Linked DNA regions of Sus scrofa. The protein of the gene in region 1 interacts with the protein of each later gene in a pairwise test. Links are inferred from orthologs where the notes say so. Each region holds a gene or a part of one and is shown in the gene's direction. Other genes may lie near its edges.

Region 1 (7,280 bases):
CCAGGGATGGGTGTTCCTAGGACCCTGTGTCTGGGGTGAGGGTGCTTTTTTCTCCTGTGAGGAGATTTGAGGCAGCGTTTTGGGGCTGCTGTGTGAGCCCTGATCCCACGCTCTCTAGACACCCCCATTTGTGGCCTAGGGGCCCAAGCAGTGGGTCCGGTCCGGGGGGAGGGTTCCCTTGGGGGAACAAGCAGGCCCTCTGGGAACGTGGTGACAGGTTCTATCCGAAGGGACAGTGAGCCATGAGTGAGGTGGGAGGTGCTGGGCCTTCTCTCTGCCCTTAAAGCCCCTGAGAGGTGAGGCCAGGCCTGGCTGGCTGGTCCAGGCCTGGGAAGGAGGTGTGGGCGCTGCTGCCCTCTGCTGAGCCAGGCCAAACTTCCCGAGGGGGAAGCTTCCCTAGCTGTCAGCCAAAGTGCACAGGCTGCGTTTGGATGCCTTTCTGCTTTACCAGGAGCCTTGGAATTTCAGAAAGCCCGGTTTTGTTTTTGTTTTTTCCTGTTAAAGAGAGTCGTCCGAGCGCAAGGAGTCCTTCCACTGGGCGTGTCTTGTTGGGAGAAGGGACCTTGGGGTCCTTGGCTGTTGGGGACATGGGTGGCCCCGCCTGGGGATCGGTGACCCCTGGGGCCAGCGTGAAGCCAGTGTGGGTTTCTGGGGCCGGGGTCCAGGCCCTGTAGGGGCAGAGGCCACGCCCTCACTGGCTGCCTCCCCGTGTCTCCCCAGGAGTCATCTGACAGCACCCACACCACCATAGAGGATGAAGACACAAAAGGTACCTGAGCTCCCTGCCTGCGGCGGCCGGCGGGGTGGCCACTGGGGGGCGGGGAGCCGGCAGAGAATCAGGCCGCAGCTGGCACCGCGGGTGTGTCCCGCGGGGCTGGCCCTGCTCAGGGCCACAGGCCCCCCCGGAGCCTGGGTGACCGGCGCCAGGCAGTCTTGGGCATAGCGTCCAAGCAGAGCTGGATGGGACCTGGGCATGGTGACTGGTGAGGACACTGCACCGGACCTGCCATTGCTCCGGGGGCCGTGCTCCCGGTTCTCGTGGCGGATGGGTTCCTGGGTGAATATGCAGCTTCTTCTCTCAAAGGTCCTTAAACCTGTCCCTGCCTGGCTGGTGGTTGATCAGTGGCTGGGCAGCCAGGGGCGTTTCTGAGCTCGCTGGGGGAGGGGTTGCTGAGACGCATGCTTCAACCCACGCGCAGAGCTCCCGGGCGAGCTGGGCCAGGGCTCAGGCTGTGCCCGACAAGAGCCCTAGGGTGCCAGACACTGAGTGCTCACCCAGGCCCACCTCTTCTGCTCTGGGCTCACCCAGCCACCCCAGGGAGGGGCTCTGGTGCCCATTCCACCCAGGCCGCCCGCTCCCACGCCAGGGGGCTGCGTGACCCTCTCGGCCACACACCTAGGTAGGTGAGGGCTGAGCACCCTCAGGACTGCCTCTGGGCCCGAGGGCGGCCACTCTGCCCGTTTGGGGGATGCGGTGACCTTGCACTGAGCACCCCACCCCCCACTCCAGAGTGGAAGTGAGCACAAGGCTTTGGCCTCTGGATGCAGGGAGAGTGGACGTTCGCGTAGTTTCCCCAGACCACAGGCCCCTGGCCATCGCTGGAGCTCACCTGGACCTCCTCAGGCTCTGCCCTGGCGGTGCTGCCACTGCCCCCAGCGGGAAACAGCCAAACCTGCAGGAACGTAGGGGAGAGGGCCAGCCCGGCCAGCCTCGTCCCAACCCTTCGTCTGGCGGGGAAAGGCTGGCCAGATGCCCCAAGGGCCTCATGAGGCAGCGCAGGCACCCGCGTCCTGAGGGGCAGGGCCCTGGGGGTCTCTCACCTCAGCTGTGTCACCTGTCAGATGCAGAGACGCCCCAGTGGGTCCAGGTCTGGGCTGGACACAGCCCACTCCCCTCCCCTGGAGGCCCGAGTCCAGCCCCGCACAGTCGTGCGTCTGCCTCACACACCTGCTGGGACAGCTCAGCCCTGGGCTCCCCGGCTGACGGCTCCCCAGGACCCACCGCGTGGGTCTCCTCCTTAACCCCCTCGTCCTGCTCCTGCACGGCCCCCTTCTCTCCTGCGTGTCTTCACCTGCCTCGTGTTCACGTCTCGTCTCACCCAGCCCCCAGGGTCCCCGACATCCTGAGCTCCGTGAGGAGGGGCTCGGGGACCCCAGACGTCGAGGGCCCCCCGCCCTGCCTGTCTCCGGCTCCCATTAGCCCCCTACCCACCCCATGTAAGTAGCCGGGCCCCTGTTGTAGCTGTGGGGGTCTCCTAGAAGGGCCTGTGGCCCCTCTCAGAGGGGACCCTCGAGAGCCAAGGGCCAGCTGGGCTTGGGCGCCCACACAGCCCCCACAGCCCCCACACTGAGGCTCCCCAGGCCTCTGCCCCTCAAGCCCGCCTCTGTGTGGGGATCCCCCCTGGCCTGTGGGGCCGCCGGGTCTCAGGACCAGGCTCCTTAGTGCTGAGCCAGGCCCCGGGGGCGGGAGAGAGCGGGAGGCCCTGCTCCCTCTCCTCCAGCCTCTCCCTGCCGCGTCCTCACGCGTCTGCCTCCTGTCCACCCCAGCCCCCCGGATCTCTGACCTCCTGAGCTCCGTGAGGAGGGGCTCGGGGACCCCGGAAGCCGAGGGCCCCCTGCCCACCCCATGTAAGTAGTGTCCCAGGCCTGCTGCCTCTGCTGCCGAGTGGCTCCCTGCCTCCTGCCATGCACGGCCTCAGCTGCCCCCGGGCCAGGCTGCCAGGCGCTAACTGTCCCAGCCTGGCTGGGCATTGGGGCGGGCACACGCGCTAACTCTGCCAGGCGCCCCCCCCACGGCTCCTCCCCCTCCCCCTGCACTGCTGTCTGGCCCCAAGCTTCTCCCCCAGAGGGTCTCCCTGACCCGGGGCAGCTGGCTGGGCCCCTCTGAGGCCGTGTGCTGTGACCCCACTTGGTGTGGGCCCCACACCTGGTGCCCAGCCAGGACCCCAGGGACCCCAGGCACCAGGAGCTATTCCAGAAATCCCTCCCAACCCCAGGACTGTGGGTTTAAAGGGAGGAGAAAGGGCCTGGCCTTCCTGCAGAAATGAGTCTCAGAGGGCCCAATGGAGCACTGCCCCAGGCGAGCTCCTCTGGCCTCTCCTGGGCCAGGCTGCCCTTCCTAGGAGGGCACCCTCTGCCACAGCAGCTTCCCGTACCCTCACCTGGTCAGACAGGTGCCTCTGCCTGAACGTCCCTGGAGCCTCCCCCCGGTCTTCCCCGCCCTTCTGTCGGCCCTGTCCCCCCATTCCACTGCACCTGTGTGTCCCTTCTCCATCCCCCTCTGTCTCCCGCCACCCCCATGCTCCCTCTTGACCCCCTCCGTCCCCCCACTCTCTCTGGCTTGGCTCATCAGCCCGTAGGTTTTCTCTCCTGCGTGTCCCCCGCCTGCCTCGTGTTCACGTCTCGTCTGTTCCGCCCCAGCCCCCAGGATCTCTAACATCCTGAACACGGTGAGGAGGGGTTCGGGGACCCCAGAAGCCCAGGGCCCCCCACCCTGCCCGTCTCCGGCTCTCCCAGGCCCCCCACCCACCCCGAGTAAGTAGCACCTTGAGTGGCCCTGCTGGCTGCCCCGGGGGGCTCACCGGGGTGTCAAGACCCCCAGCTGCCGTGTGCTGCCCCTTGGCCCCGGGAAGGGGCCAGCCTGTGTGTGTGTGGGGGGGGCGGGGGGACAAGGGGCGCAGGTGTGGGAAGAACCAGGAAGCAGGTTCCCGAGGACCAGGGCGTCACACTCCTGCTGCCTGCGGGGTCTTCTGTAGCGATGATGGGGCAAGTACCAGCTGGGGTGGCATCTGAGTGTGGAGGGGCAGTTCTCTGGGGGGCAAGGAAGAGAAAGGCCTTCTCGGGGCCCAGGGGCCGGCCGGGGCTGCGGGGCTGGCGCTGAGCTGGGCCGCCTCCCCAGGTGGGGAGGAGCCGCCGGGCGCTGCAGCCGGTCTGCCGACTGCCTGCCGGTATCACTTACAGGGATGGATGACACCCCAGGGCGGCCGCCACCCCCGCCTCCGGGGAGACACGGCGCTCTCAGAGGAGAGGCTGCGGGGCCGGGGGCCGGGCATGGCGGGGGAGAGGCTGGGTGAGTCTGGGCCAGGCCTGGGGGCCAGGCAGAGCGGAAGGGGAGGGAGACCTGGCAGCAGTGGGGTCGGGGTCGGGGTCGGGGTCTGCAGCCAGCATCTGCAGCCAGCATCCAGGCGTGGCTAAGGGGAGCGGAGCCTGGGGGAGTGGTCAGAGCCCCCTCCCCATTTGGCAGCGTCTTACCAGAGATGTCTCCTGGACGGACCGTCACAGCCCCCAGTTTCACAGATGAGAAAGCTGAGCTTAGGAGTTGGGGAGGGTGGTGCCCGAGGGGGCCGCCTGCAACGGGACCCCGGCCCAGGGCTGTGACCTGCCCCTGGGGTACACACAGCCCAGGCGGGGAGCTCTGAGAACCGGGCTTGCCCGGTTGGGTGGGGGGCCCGCTGCACAGGAAGCAGGTTCCCGAGGACCAGGGTGTCACACTCACAGGTTCGCCCCTTTAGGGGTCTGTCCTGAGCTTGACTCGGGAAGGTGGGGGCCACAGAAGGCGCTGTGACAGGATTGAAAGAGGGGCCTAGGGGCCTGGATGTGGCAGCGTGCAGGGGCGGGGGCTGAGAGCAGACTCAGAGTGGGGGGGGCAGCGAGGGAAGGGGGTGGCCCCCATCCGTGTCTCTCAGGGAGTGGGGTCCTTGTGCTAGATGTGCGCCCCCAGCCCAGAGTTCCCAGCATCCCCAGCCCTTGAGTGTGTGTGTGTGTGTGTGTGTGTGTGTGTTGGAGGGGCCTCAGGGGAGGGGGTGTGGGTGGGGCCAGCCCATTTGGGGGTGAGCTCTGGCTGAGAGTGTGAGTGCCAGAGCCGGGGTGCCCCTCTCCACCTCCAGGACCCGGGTCCACCTCTCCCAGCACTGAGACCCAGACCGCAGAGGGAGGGCCGTCGCTGGGGTGGGTCACGGGCAGCCCCCTTTTTGGTGAATGTCCCTGCCAGCTGTCGCCATGTCTAAATGGGCCTGTGTTCTCTATAATCGGATTATGCACAATCCAGGCTGATCCTGTGCAAGTGCCTCTGGGGTGGTTGGGGGCATCCCTGTGCCCCTGTAGCTGCCAAGGGACAGGCCTTGAGGTCACCCAGGGGTCACTGGGGCTCCCCCACACCCCAAACCCTTTGCCCGCGGCTGGGCCTCCCTGGCCTGTTAGCTTGCCCCGAGAGAGCGGCTGTGGGGGCTCCTCCCAAGCCAGAACCGTACCTGTGAACCTTGGCTCTGTTCCTGGAGTTGCCTGGTGGCAGCAGCTTGTCCTCATGCTAACAGGCCTCACCCCCCCTGGGGCCTCCCTTGGCGTAGCTTTGCTGTGGGGGGCGGGGTGGGGTTCGGCCTGACCCATAGCTGCTCCAGGGATCAGGAGCGCCCGGCCCAGTCCTGGGCTGTGACTAGGCCTGTATGGCCTCCACTTTCCCATCTGCAGAATGGACGTGGTGGCTCTTTCCCAGACTTCAGACTCTGCCTGTGTGCTGTGACCGGGATGTCTCTGGTGTGCTTAATCCTTCCTCTGTACGCTGTCTCCATCTTCAATTACACTTTGTTTAAAAACGCTCAATATGACTTTATTAAGTGGAAGGTGTGGGTCACTTACCACGGTAGGGTTAACTGTGAAATCAGAGTGGGCTGAAAACAAAACAGAAAAAATGTCACTCCGTTCCAGCTGCAAGGCTGTCTGCCGAGGACTTGCGTAGGCTGGGGACAGGTCCCCACGTCTGTGAAGAAGGGGGATTGACGGGTGTCAGGGTGGGTAGATGACCTCCGGGTGACATCAGCAGGATGGCCCGGAGCTGAGGAGTAAACCCCAGGTAGAAGGTGGGGGCCCTGAGCAGAAGCTGGACCTGGTGCCACAGGAGGTAGGTGGCAAGGGCCCACGGGTGACAGGCCGCCTGGACAGGGATGGGAGTGGCAGGGGCTGGAGGCTGCCTTGGAATGAGCCCAAGGGACCTGATTCTCTGGACAGCATTTGGTGGGGGAGCTGGGCTGCAGTGGGAGGAGATGGAAGTCACCTCCGCGAAGGTGACAGGTGCAGAGAGGATGGGGGTGGGTGAGGTCCCGGAGGAGAGGGGGCCATTCAAAACTGGGAAGCGTGCGGGCAGAGGGTGGCGAGGTGGGCAGGCTGCAGAGGAAGCCGAGGGGGAAGAACTCAGTCCAGGGGCAGGTGTGGAGGCGGAGCTGTGAAGTAGAGAGTGAGAACAGCCAGCCTGTGTGTGTCCGTGTGTCTGGACAGAGCTCTGTCCCTGCATGAAGCTCTGCAGGTGGACATGAGGCATCTGGGAACCTGGGCCTGCAGCTTCCCCTCCTGGAAGCCAGCTTCCAGGGGCCACCCGCATAGGTGGGGCCTGGGTGCTGCAGAGATGGCCCTAAGCCCAAACCCCGATGTGGTCCAGGTGTGAGGTTCAGTGAGAAATGGGAAAAGGATGCCAGCAGAAGCACAGCCGGGTCCAGAGAGAGGGTCTCTTCAAGATAGGGGAAGCCTATGTGAGTTTGCGGGGTGGGTATGCACACGCGTGCGCGCGCACACACACACACACACACACTCTCAGCCCCTCAGGCATCATGGAGCTCAATCCCCAGTCACTGTCCAGAGCCAGTGCAGCACAACCCAGGCTCCCAGCTCACACACAGGCACGCCTGGGCTTGCACACAGCACGCAGTGTCTTCTGCCGTGGACTCTGTCTGCCCCACGAGGTGGGCGCCTGGGCAAGTGATGGGAACCTGCGGCCCCACCACGGGCCCTGGGCACATGCTTCCAAATGCTATATGCACGCATTTGGAGCTGGCCCCTGCGCTCTGGGACTTTAGCCCCAGATCAATTCCCACACGTGCTGTTCCCAGCTGGCAGCTGGCACTGGAGACCTGCAGTCACCCATCACTGGGCTTGGCTGTGTGAGGATGCCCATCGCCCAGGAGTGGCCGTGCAGAAAGCCTGTGGTCCCAGTGTGCTGCTGGCAGCGAGGGACACGGGTGTGGGGGCTGAGGGTGCACAGACGCATGCAGCCGTGGAGCCGTGACCGGGAGGGAAGTGTGAGCAGAGAGCTCCTGAGATCATGCTCTCAGGGCCCTCCTTGGGTCTGAGGTTTACCTCCGGCAGGTTCCTGCTTTACGGCGTCAGCCAGCGTGGGTGTGTCTGTGTCTGTGCGGGTGTGGATGTATCTGCGTGGAAGTGGTTGCGCACCTGACTCGGGGCGGAACTCTGGGGAGAGCGGGTGACGAGCAGGATTGAGGGGAGCACAGGCC
Region 2 (7,280 bases), on another chromosome or scaffold:
GGTGGCTATAGCTCTGATTCGATCCCTAACCTGGGAACTTCCATATGCTGCGGATGTGGCCCTAAAAAGAAGAAGAAGAAAAAAGCGGGCAGAGGAACTGGGTGGGTTTTTCCAAAGCAGACATACAGATGGCCAACAGCACATGAAAAGATGCTCAGCATCACCCATCATCAGGCAAATGCAAATTACAGCACAATGAGACAGTGCCTCACACCTGCCAGCATGGCTATTATCAAAAAGAAGAAACAGTTCCCGTTGTGGCGCAGTGGTTAACGAATCTGACTAGGATGAGGTGGTGGGTTCAATCCCTGGCCTTGCTCAGTGGGTTAAGGATCCGGCGTTGCCGTGAGCTGTGGTGTAGGTCGCAGACGCAGCTCGGATCCCGAGTCGCTGTGGCTGTGGTGTAGGCCAGCGGCTACAGCTCCTATTAGACCCCTAGCCTGGGAACCTCCATATGCCACAGAAGCGGCCCTAGAAATGGAAAAAAGACAAAAAAAAAAAAAAAGAAACAAGTATTGACAAGGATGTGGGGAGAAGGAACCCCTCGTATGCTGCGGATGGCAATGTATAGCGATGCAGCTACTGTGGAAGAGAGCATGGAGGTTCCCCAACCAAATTAAGAGTAGAACTACCCTATGAGCCAGCTGCTCCACTTCTGTGTGTTTAAAGAAAATAAGAACACTGATTTGAAGTGACATCTGCACCCTTACATTCACGGCAGCACTATTTACAATAGCCCAGACATGGAGTCACCCAAGTGTCCACTGATGGATGAATGGATAGAGAAGAGGTGGTATGTAGACACACGTTGGAATATTATTCAGCCATAAGCAAGATGAAATCTTGCCATTTGTGACAAAATGGGTATTATACTAAGTGAAATAAGTCAGACGGAGAAAAACAAATGGCTTATGATTTTAAATGAGTTCCCTAGTGGTGCAGTGGGTTAAAGATCCGGCATTGTCACTGCTGTGGCTGGGTTTGATTTCCTGGCCCGAGAATTTCCACTTGCCGCAGGCACAACCAAAATAAAATAGGGAATTCCCTTCATGGCTCAGCAGAAATGAATCTGACTGGGATCCATAAGGACGCAGGTTCCATCCCTGGCCTCCCTCAAGGAGTTAAGGATCTGGCGTTGCCATAAGCTGTGGTGTAGGTCGCAGACACGGCTTGGATCTGGTGTTGCTGTGGCTGTGGTGTAGGCTGGCAGCTGCAGCTCCGATTCAACCCCTAGCCTGGGAACCTCCATAGACTGTGGGTGTGTCCCTAAAAAGACAAAAATAATAATAAAATGAAATAAAAGAACAAGCCAAACAAAAACGTCGATACAGGGAACAGAGCAGCGGTCACCAGGGGGGAAGGGGGGTGGGGCACAGAGGCAGACTGGGTAAAGGGGCCGACTGTGTGGTGACCAGTGAAAACTGGTTTTGGTGGTGAGCGTGCAGCAGGGCACACAGAGGTAGAAATAACACATGACACTTTTAACACAGAGTTAGACACCAGCGTTGCCTCGATAAAAACTACACTTAAATAAAAAAGCTGACTTTTGGAATTCCCGTTGTGACTCAGTGGTAACGAACCCAACTAGGATCCGTGAGGACGTGGGTTCTATCCCTGGCCTTGTTCAGTGGGTTAAGGATCCGGCGTTGCCGTGAGCTGAGGTGTGGGTCTCAGATGTGACTCGGATCTGGCATTGCTATGGCTGTGGTGTAGGCCGGCAGCTACAGCTCTGATTCCACCCCTAGCCTGGGAATTCCATATGCTGTGGGTGTGGCCCTAAAAGGAAAAAGAAAGAAAAAGCTGATTTTCAGTGCTGGCGCGGGGAGGTGCTGGGCCCGCAAGCACTCTGCCCTATTGAGAAGCACTTTGGGAAGTGAGGTGGTTGTCCCTTCCACCCAAGAACCAATCGTGATTCTGTAAAGACTGTGAATGAAAGGGGGCTCGTCCAGTTCTTTAAATGGGAAACAGTTGGGGTTGGCCCCAGTCTAACAGGAGACTGTTCTATCCGGCTGTTAAACGGGTTTGCGATGGAGTGCAGTGAAATGGCCGTCGGAGAAAGTGTCAAGAGGAAGTTTCCAGTGTGGCTCTGTGGTAATGAACCCAATTATAGTAGCCATGAGGATGCGGGCGCCATCCCGGGGCTCGCTCAGTGGGTTAAAGGACCTAGCGTTGCTGTGAGTTGTGGCGTAGGCCAGCAGCTGTGGCTCTGAGGTGGCCCCTAGCCAGAATACTTCCATATGCTGCAGGTGGAGCCCTAAAAAGCAAAAAAAAAAAAAAGTGGAGGAAGTTCATTCTTCCTCGCGTTCATGCAGAATGAGCTCCTGAGTGGGTTTGGCTGGACCTGGTGTGCACCTGTGCTGACTGGCTGTGTCTTGCAGTAACCGGGAGTCCTGGGTGGCCCAGGGTGTATACCTTTTTGTTGCTTTTTTTTTTTTTTTAATTTTGTTTTCTATTGGAGTATTGTTAATTTACAAGGTTGTGTCACTTTCAGGTGTAGCCCTATTGTTCCTTTTGAATTTTGAGTCATGAGGTAATTTGGGTTGCTGTTATAAGGATAAATAAAATGTAAATAAAGGGACTGTGATTGGTAAGGGCTTTGTCATAAGATGGGCAGGTTATTTATCTTCCCGTTGAGTAAAAATGGTTGTGAAAATGTATACTTAGGTTTTGCCCAACTGGTGTAAGACTCTATGTGACAATTACATGTATGACTATAAGTGACAACAATATAAGACTATGTAGGACTGTGAGTAAGGACCACAAACGACTAAAACAAGGAGCCAGGTAGGCAAACAGGTAAACCAGTGAAACCTCTCTTCTTAGGGCAAAAAGCCTGGAAAGAAAGATCCCCAAAGAGAAACCAAACCGTGTTTATCTCTGGATAGGAGAGGTGTTTTTCCTCCTTTGTGTGCTCTTCCGTGGTTTTCCGGAGCGAGTGTGTGCACGTTTCCACTTTTCATGAGCAAGTCACACGTCTCGTGTAGGAGAACAAAAGAGCCGCTTGGAACCCTGCCAGCCAGAGCATCCCCTGTGTGGCCCTTGGGCTCCGCCCCTGGGCTCTGCGTTTAGGAACCTGTGATGGCCATGACGTGTGGGCATAAAAAGCTGTTACTCCAGGAGTTCCCGTCGTGGCGCAGTGGTTAACGAATCTGACTAGGAACCAAGAGGTTGCAGGTTCGATCCCTGCCCTTGCTCAGTGGGTTAAGGATCCGGCGTTGCCGTGAGCCGTGGTGTAGGTCGCAGATGCAGCTCGGATACCGTGCTGCTGTGGCTGTGGTGTAGGCCGGCAGCTGCAGCTCTGATTGGACCCCTCGCTGTGGGAGCGGCCCTAGAAATGGCCAAAAAAAGACAGGAAAAAAAAAAAAAGCTGTTACTCCAACAGTGGATACGAAACCTGGGGGGAGCGTGTCCGGGGGGGGTGGGGGGAGCGGCTCACGGTTGGCTGACCCGCCTCTGGTCTTTCCAGGAGCGCTGCGTGGCCGCCCTGGCCCGGGTCGAGCGCACCGACTTCCTGTCGCCCATGTGCATCGGCGAGGTGGCGCACGTCAGCGCGGAGATCACCTACACGTCCAAGCACTCCGTGGAGGTCCAGGTCCACGTCATGTCCGAGAACATCCTCACAGGTAACCCGCACGCCGGCCGCGGGCGGGGCCGGGAGCAGTGGCGACAGCGGCATGGACGCAGCCGTGACAGCTCGCTGACAGCTCCTGCGTGGCCAGGGATGACCTCCCTGAGTTCCCACCTCCACCTGGGAGCAGGAACCTCTGCTGTCCTGTTTTTAGGACGGGGAAACGGGAGCACAGACGAGTTAGGCAGCGAGCCCCCGCTCGCGTGCCCAGCGTGTGACCCACCCCCCCAACCCCCAGCAGGACTAGGGGGGAGAGCTGGGAGTGGCCTGGGAGGGCACATGCCATCCTGTGGCCCCCCTGCCTGCCCCCCTCCCCCACTTGCCCATCCCCGCTTGGGGACACTGCTGCCCCTTGGAGGACACTGGCCTGGCTGCTTTCTGCCCCCCTGGGCCCCGGGAGCCAGGCCTAGGCTGGCGCTTGCTGGGTGAACCTTTGACTCTGGTTTGATCTGAATCTTCTCTTCCTCCGGTGGTAACCATGGAAACCCCTTTTCATCCTCCCACTGGGCGCTGCAGGGGAGGGTGGCTCCGGTTCACACTCGCTGCTTTTTATAACCCAGCTGCTGATGGGGGAGGCAGGCCTCTTGGTCCCCTCATTGCCTACCTCCTTGTCGCAGGCCACCCGGAGGAGAGTCGGGGCCCGTTCTGGAGGGAGAAGCTGCCTGGGTTCTTGCACCTTCTTCTCCGGCCCCTCCTGGGCCGTGTCTGCCTGCAGAGTGCTGTGCACGGGGATCTTTAGGGGGCCCCAGGCTTGTCCCCCCACAAGGAAGAAGCTCAATTATTCATCTGGAACATTCCAGTGATGACAGCACCCCTGCCAGTGCTCGGGGAACTATTTTGCTGAGCCAGGCCCTGGCGTGGGGAGCGGTCAACGGGCTCGTGGCCCGTGTTCTGCGTTGGTGGCCCAAGCCCTGTGTTCAGAGGGCAGCTGTGGCATCAGAGGGACCTTGGATGCCGGTCTTAGGCAGTGCCACAGAAAGGGGTGCTCGGGCCCTGACTTCCCACTGTGGCGCTGGCCCCAGCGGTGTGCCCCGGGGGTGACCAACCCTTTCTCCTGGGCTGTGCTGGGGGTTTAGCCTCCCTATGCCTGTCATGAGAGGGGAACGGCTATGCTCGCTGCTTTTCTTGAACTTTAGGCTTATTTGTTGATAGCGTCTTCAACAGCATTGTTTTTGGTGGGTTGTTTTTTTTGTGGCCACACCACTGGCTTTTGGAAGTTCCGGGATCAGGGATCACACCTGAGCCATAGCAGTGACAGCACTGTATCCTTAACCTTTAGGCCAGCAGGGAACTCCAAGCAGGATTGTTTTTGTATTGTCCAGGGTCAGAGAGCCATTGACTTCAAAAGTGGGGGAGGGGCCTGCTTTACAGATTCCCATCCCCCAAGCCCCCTTTCTGGCTCATCAGGCCACAGCCCGGGAGGAACCCCCATGAACAGAACAGCGTCATGCTGTGTGCAAGTGGGAACGAGAGCCGAGGGGACAGGGACCAGAGCTACTGCAGTGGGGCAGGGGTCCCCAGGGTCGTGGCTCCTTCCACCAGAGGTGTTTGCAAGGGGAGATCTTTGGTTGTCACAGTCGGGGTGGAGGCCTGGGACACTGCTGCACACCCTACAGTGCTTGGGGGCCCCACAGCCTGATGGGCCCCCGCCGTCTGAGTAGTGAGGCTGCGGAGGCCGGCCCTGGACCCTGGCTCCTGGCTCCTGAGGGAAAGGTCACATCTCCCTCTTCCCCGCAGCTGCCGTCGGCTCACGACAGAGGCGGAATCAATAATTGATGAGTGAGTGAATGAAGGGGGAGGTGAGTCAGGAAGATCTGGGTCTCTGCACTGGGAGGGCAGCTCACAGAGGGCTTTGTTAGAAGGACTTCCTGCGGGATTCTGGCTGCCATGGGGCAGAGCTGGGCGGGAGGGGGCAGAAGAGGGCGAGGGGGACAGGGGTGGGCAGGAGAAGGTTGGGGGGCAGGAGAGGGTGGGGGGCAGGAGAGGGTGGGGACAGAGGGGACAGGAGAGGGTAGAGAGCAGGAGGGGTGGGAGGGTCAGGAGGGGACAGGAGGGGTCAGGAGAGGGTTGGGGGGCAGCGCTGGCCCAGAACTATGCTCCACCAAGGTCAGGATGCTCTCCACCCACCCTGCCCTGTGTCCCCGGCCCCCCTGGCCCTGAAGGGCCAGGGGTTCAGAGAGCCTGGGCTACCCGGAGGAGAGAAGTGGCCATGAGGGGTAGAGCCGCAGGCATCCACCCTCGCGGGACAGCGGGTGGGCATTGCGCACCTGAGGACAGAGGCTCTGAGAAGGCAGGGACGGGCCTAGCCTTTTGAGATGGGACGCCTGGGGTCGAGGGAGAACGCCAAGGCCGGGTCTCGGGGTGGGGACAGAGCCTTGGAGCTGGGGCTGTGGCTCTTCTACAGTCTGGGCCGTCCTGCCCCTTGGCCGGGCACCCCTGCTGTTCTCATGTCCGGGCGGCCTGCCTGGGTCTCAGCCTCGTGTCTGTGCATCTCGTGTCTTCCGTGTTTGGGTCCGTGTGCGTCTCTCTTGTTCTGGGCCCGCATGTGTGGCAGCCTTCCGGTCTTGTTGGGTCTCTGCCATGTGCACTGGGATGTGAGCCCTGTGAGGGTAGGGCCTGTGGCCGCCTCATCCAGATTGTCCCCGACTCGTCCCCCGCGGGCACTCGGTGAGCACGGGCTGGCGGACACACCGGGACCAAGCAGAGCCTCGTGTGCCTCCCTGTGTCCCGCGACCCGAAGAGGCCAGGTGCCGTCCCCCCGGCTCTGGGCGCCTGTCGGGAGGCGGCGGGGCGAGCGCGCGCCCAGGCAGACAACCAGCAAAGCTTCCTCATCCATCAGCGGCAACTGTCAAAATATTAAGCTAACTGGGACATGATTGCTGCGAATCACTCCAGAAAATAGCTGGGAGCGCTTCAGATTTTAGAATAGATGTTTTTAGTGCCGCCGTTGTCTTTTGATGGTTTTATTAAATGATAAAGTACAATTAGCGTGTTTTGCCTCGTTTGTGCATTTAGGTCTGGAGGCGGGCCACTCGGGGTTTCCATGGAAACCAGCTCTGCTGGGCCGGCGCTCGCGGAGTCAAACAGGAAATCTTTATTCCCCAAAGCAGGTTGTCAGATCCACTCTCAGTCAAAGTGCAGAGAAGATATTTTTCCATCTTATCGGCTCATGGTCCCAGGGGTGCCGAGAGCCCGGGCCGAGCGGTGCGCGTCCTGGTGTGAGGAGCGGGCCTGGGCACCAGGGGCCTCACTGCCTTCTGATTGACCCGCCGGGGCTTGGCTTGGGCCTTGGGGCTACGTTTATGGGGGGACCGAAGCCCCAGCTGTGCCTTGGGAAGGCAGGTCAGAGGGAGCCCCTAGGAAGTGAGTTACCGGGGGACTTTGGGGTGAGTGCCGGGCCTGCTCCCCGCTTCTCTGCTTCCTGTCTTCCCAGTTCTGCCCTTCTCTACATCGAGAATCCTCCCTGCGGAAGAGGCAGCTTTTAAAGGGCATCCTGGCTTGAGTTCCCTGCTGGCTCAGGGCTTAAGGATCCGGCCTTGTCACTGCTGTGGCGTGGGTTCAATCCCTGGCCCAGGAACTTCCGCCTGCCATGAGTGCGGCCAGTAAAATAAAATAAGAGGAATCCCGGCAAATACGTCTGTGACGTTACTGG

Evidence for each region.
Region 2: the proteins of CAMK2B (region 1) and ACOT7 interact in binary tests that used the Homo sapiens proteins (3 or more experiments, as listed by UniProt). The two-hybrid records come from large-scale screens. The link is inferred for Sus scrofa from reciprocal best matches to the Homo sapiens genes CAMK2B and ACOT7.

The regions. Positions count from the first base shown.
Region 1 is NC_010460.4:50,946,623-50,953,902, forward strand, and holds part of CAMK2B (calcium/calmodulin-dependent protein kinase type II subunit beta), read left to right. Parts: intron 1-720; coding exon 721-769; intron 770-2,103; coding exon 2,104-2,217; intron 2,218-2,547; coding exon 2,548-2,628; intron 2,629-3,420; coding exon 3,421-3,534; intron 3,535-7,280. UniProt on the Homo sapiens protein: Calcium/calmodulin-dependent protein kinase that functions autonomously after Ca(2+)/calmodulin-binding and autophosphorylation, and is involved in dendritic spine and synapse formation, neuronal plasticity and regulation of sarcoplasmic reticulum Ca(2+) transport in skeletal muscle.
Region 2 is NC_010448.4:67,211,344-67,218,623, reverse strand, and holds part of ACOT7 (cytosolic acyl coenzyme A thioester hydrolase), read left to right. Parts: intron 1-3,466; coding exon 3,467-3,623; intron 3,624-7,280. UniProt on the Homo sapiens protein: Catalyzes the hydrolysis of acyl-CoAs into free fatty acids and coenzyme A (CoASH), regulating their respective intracellular levels.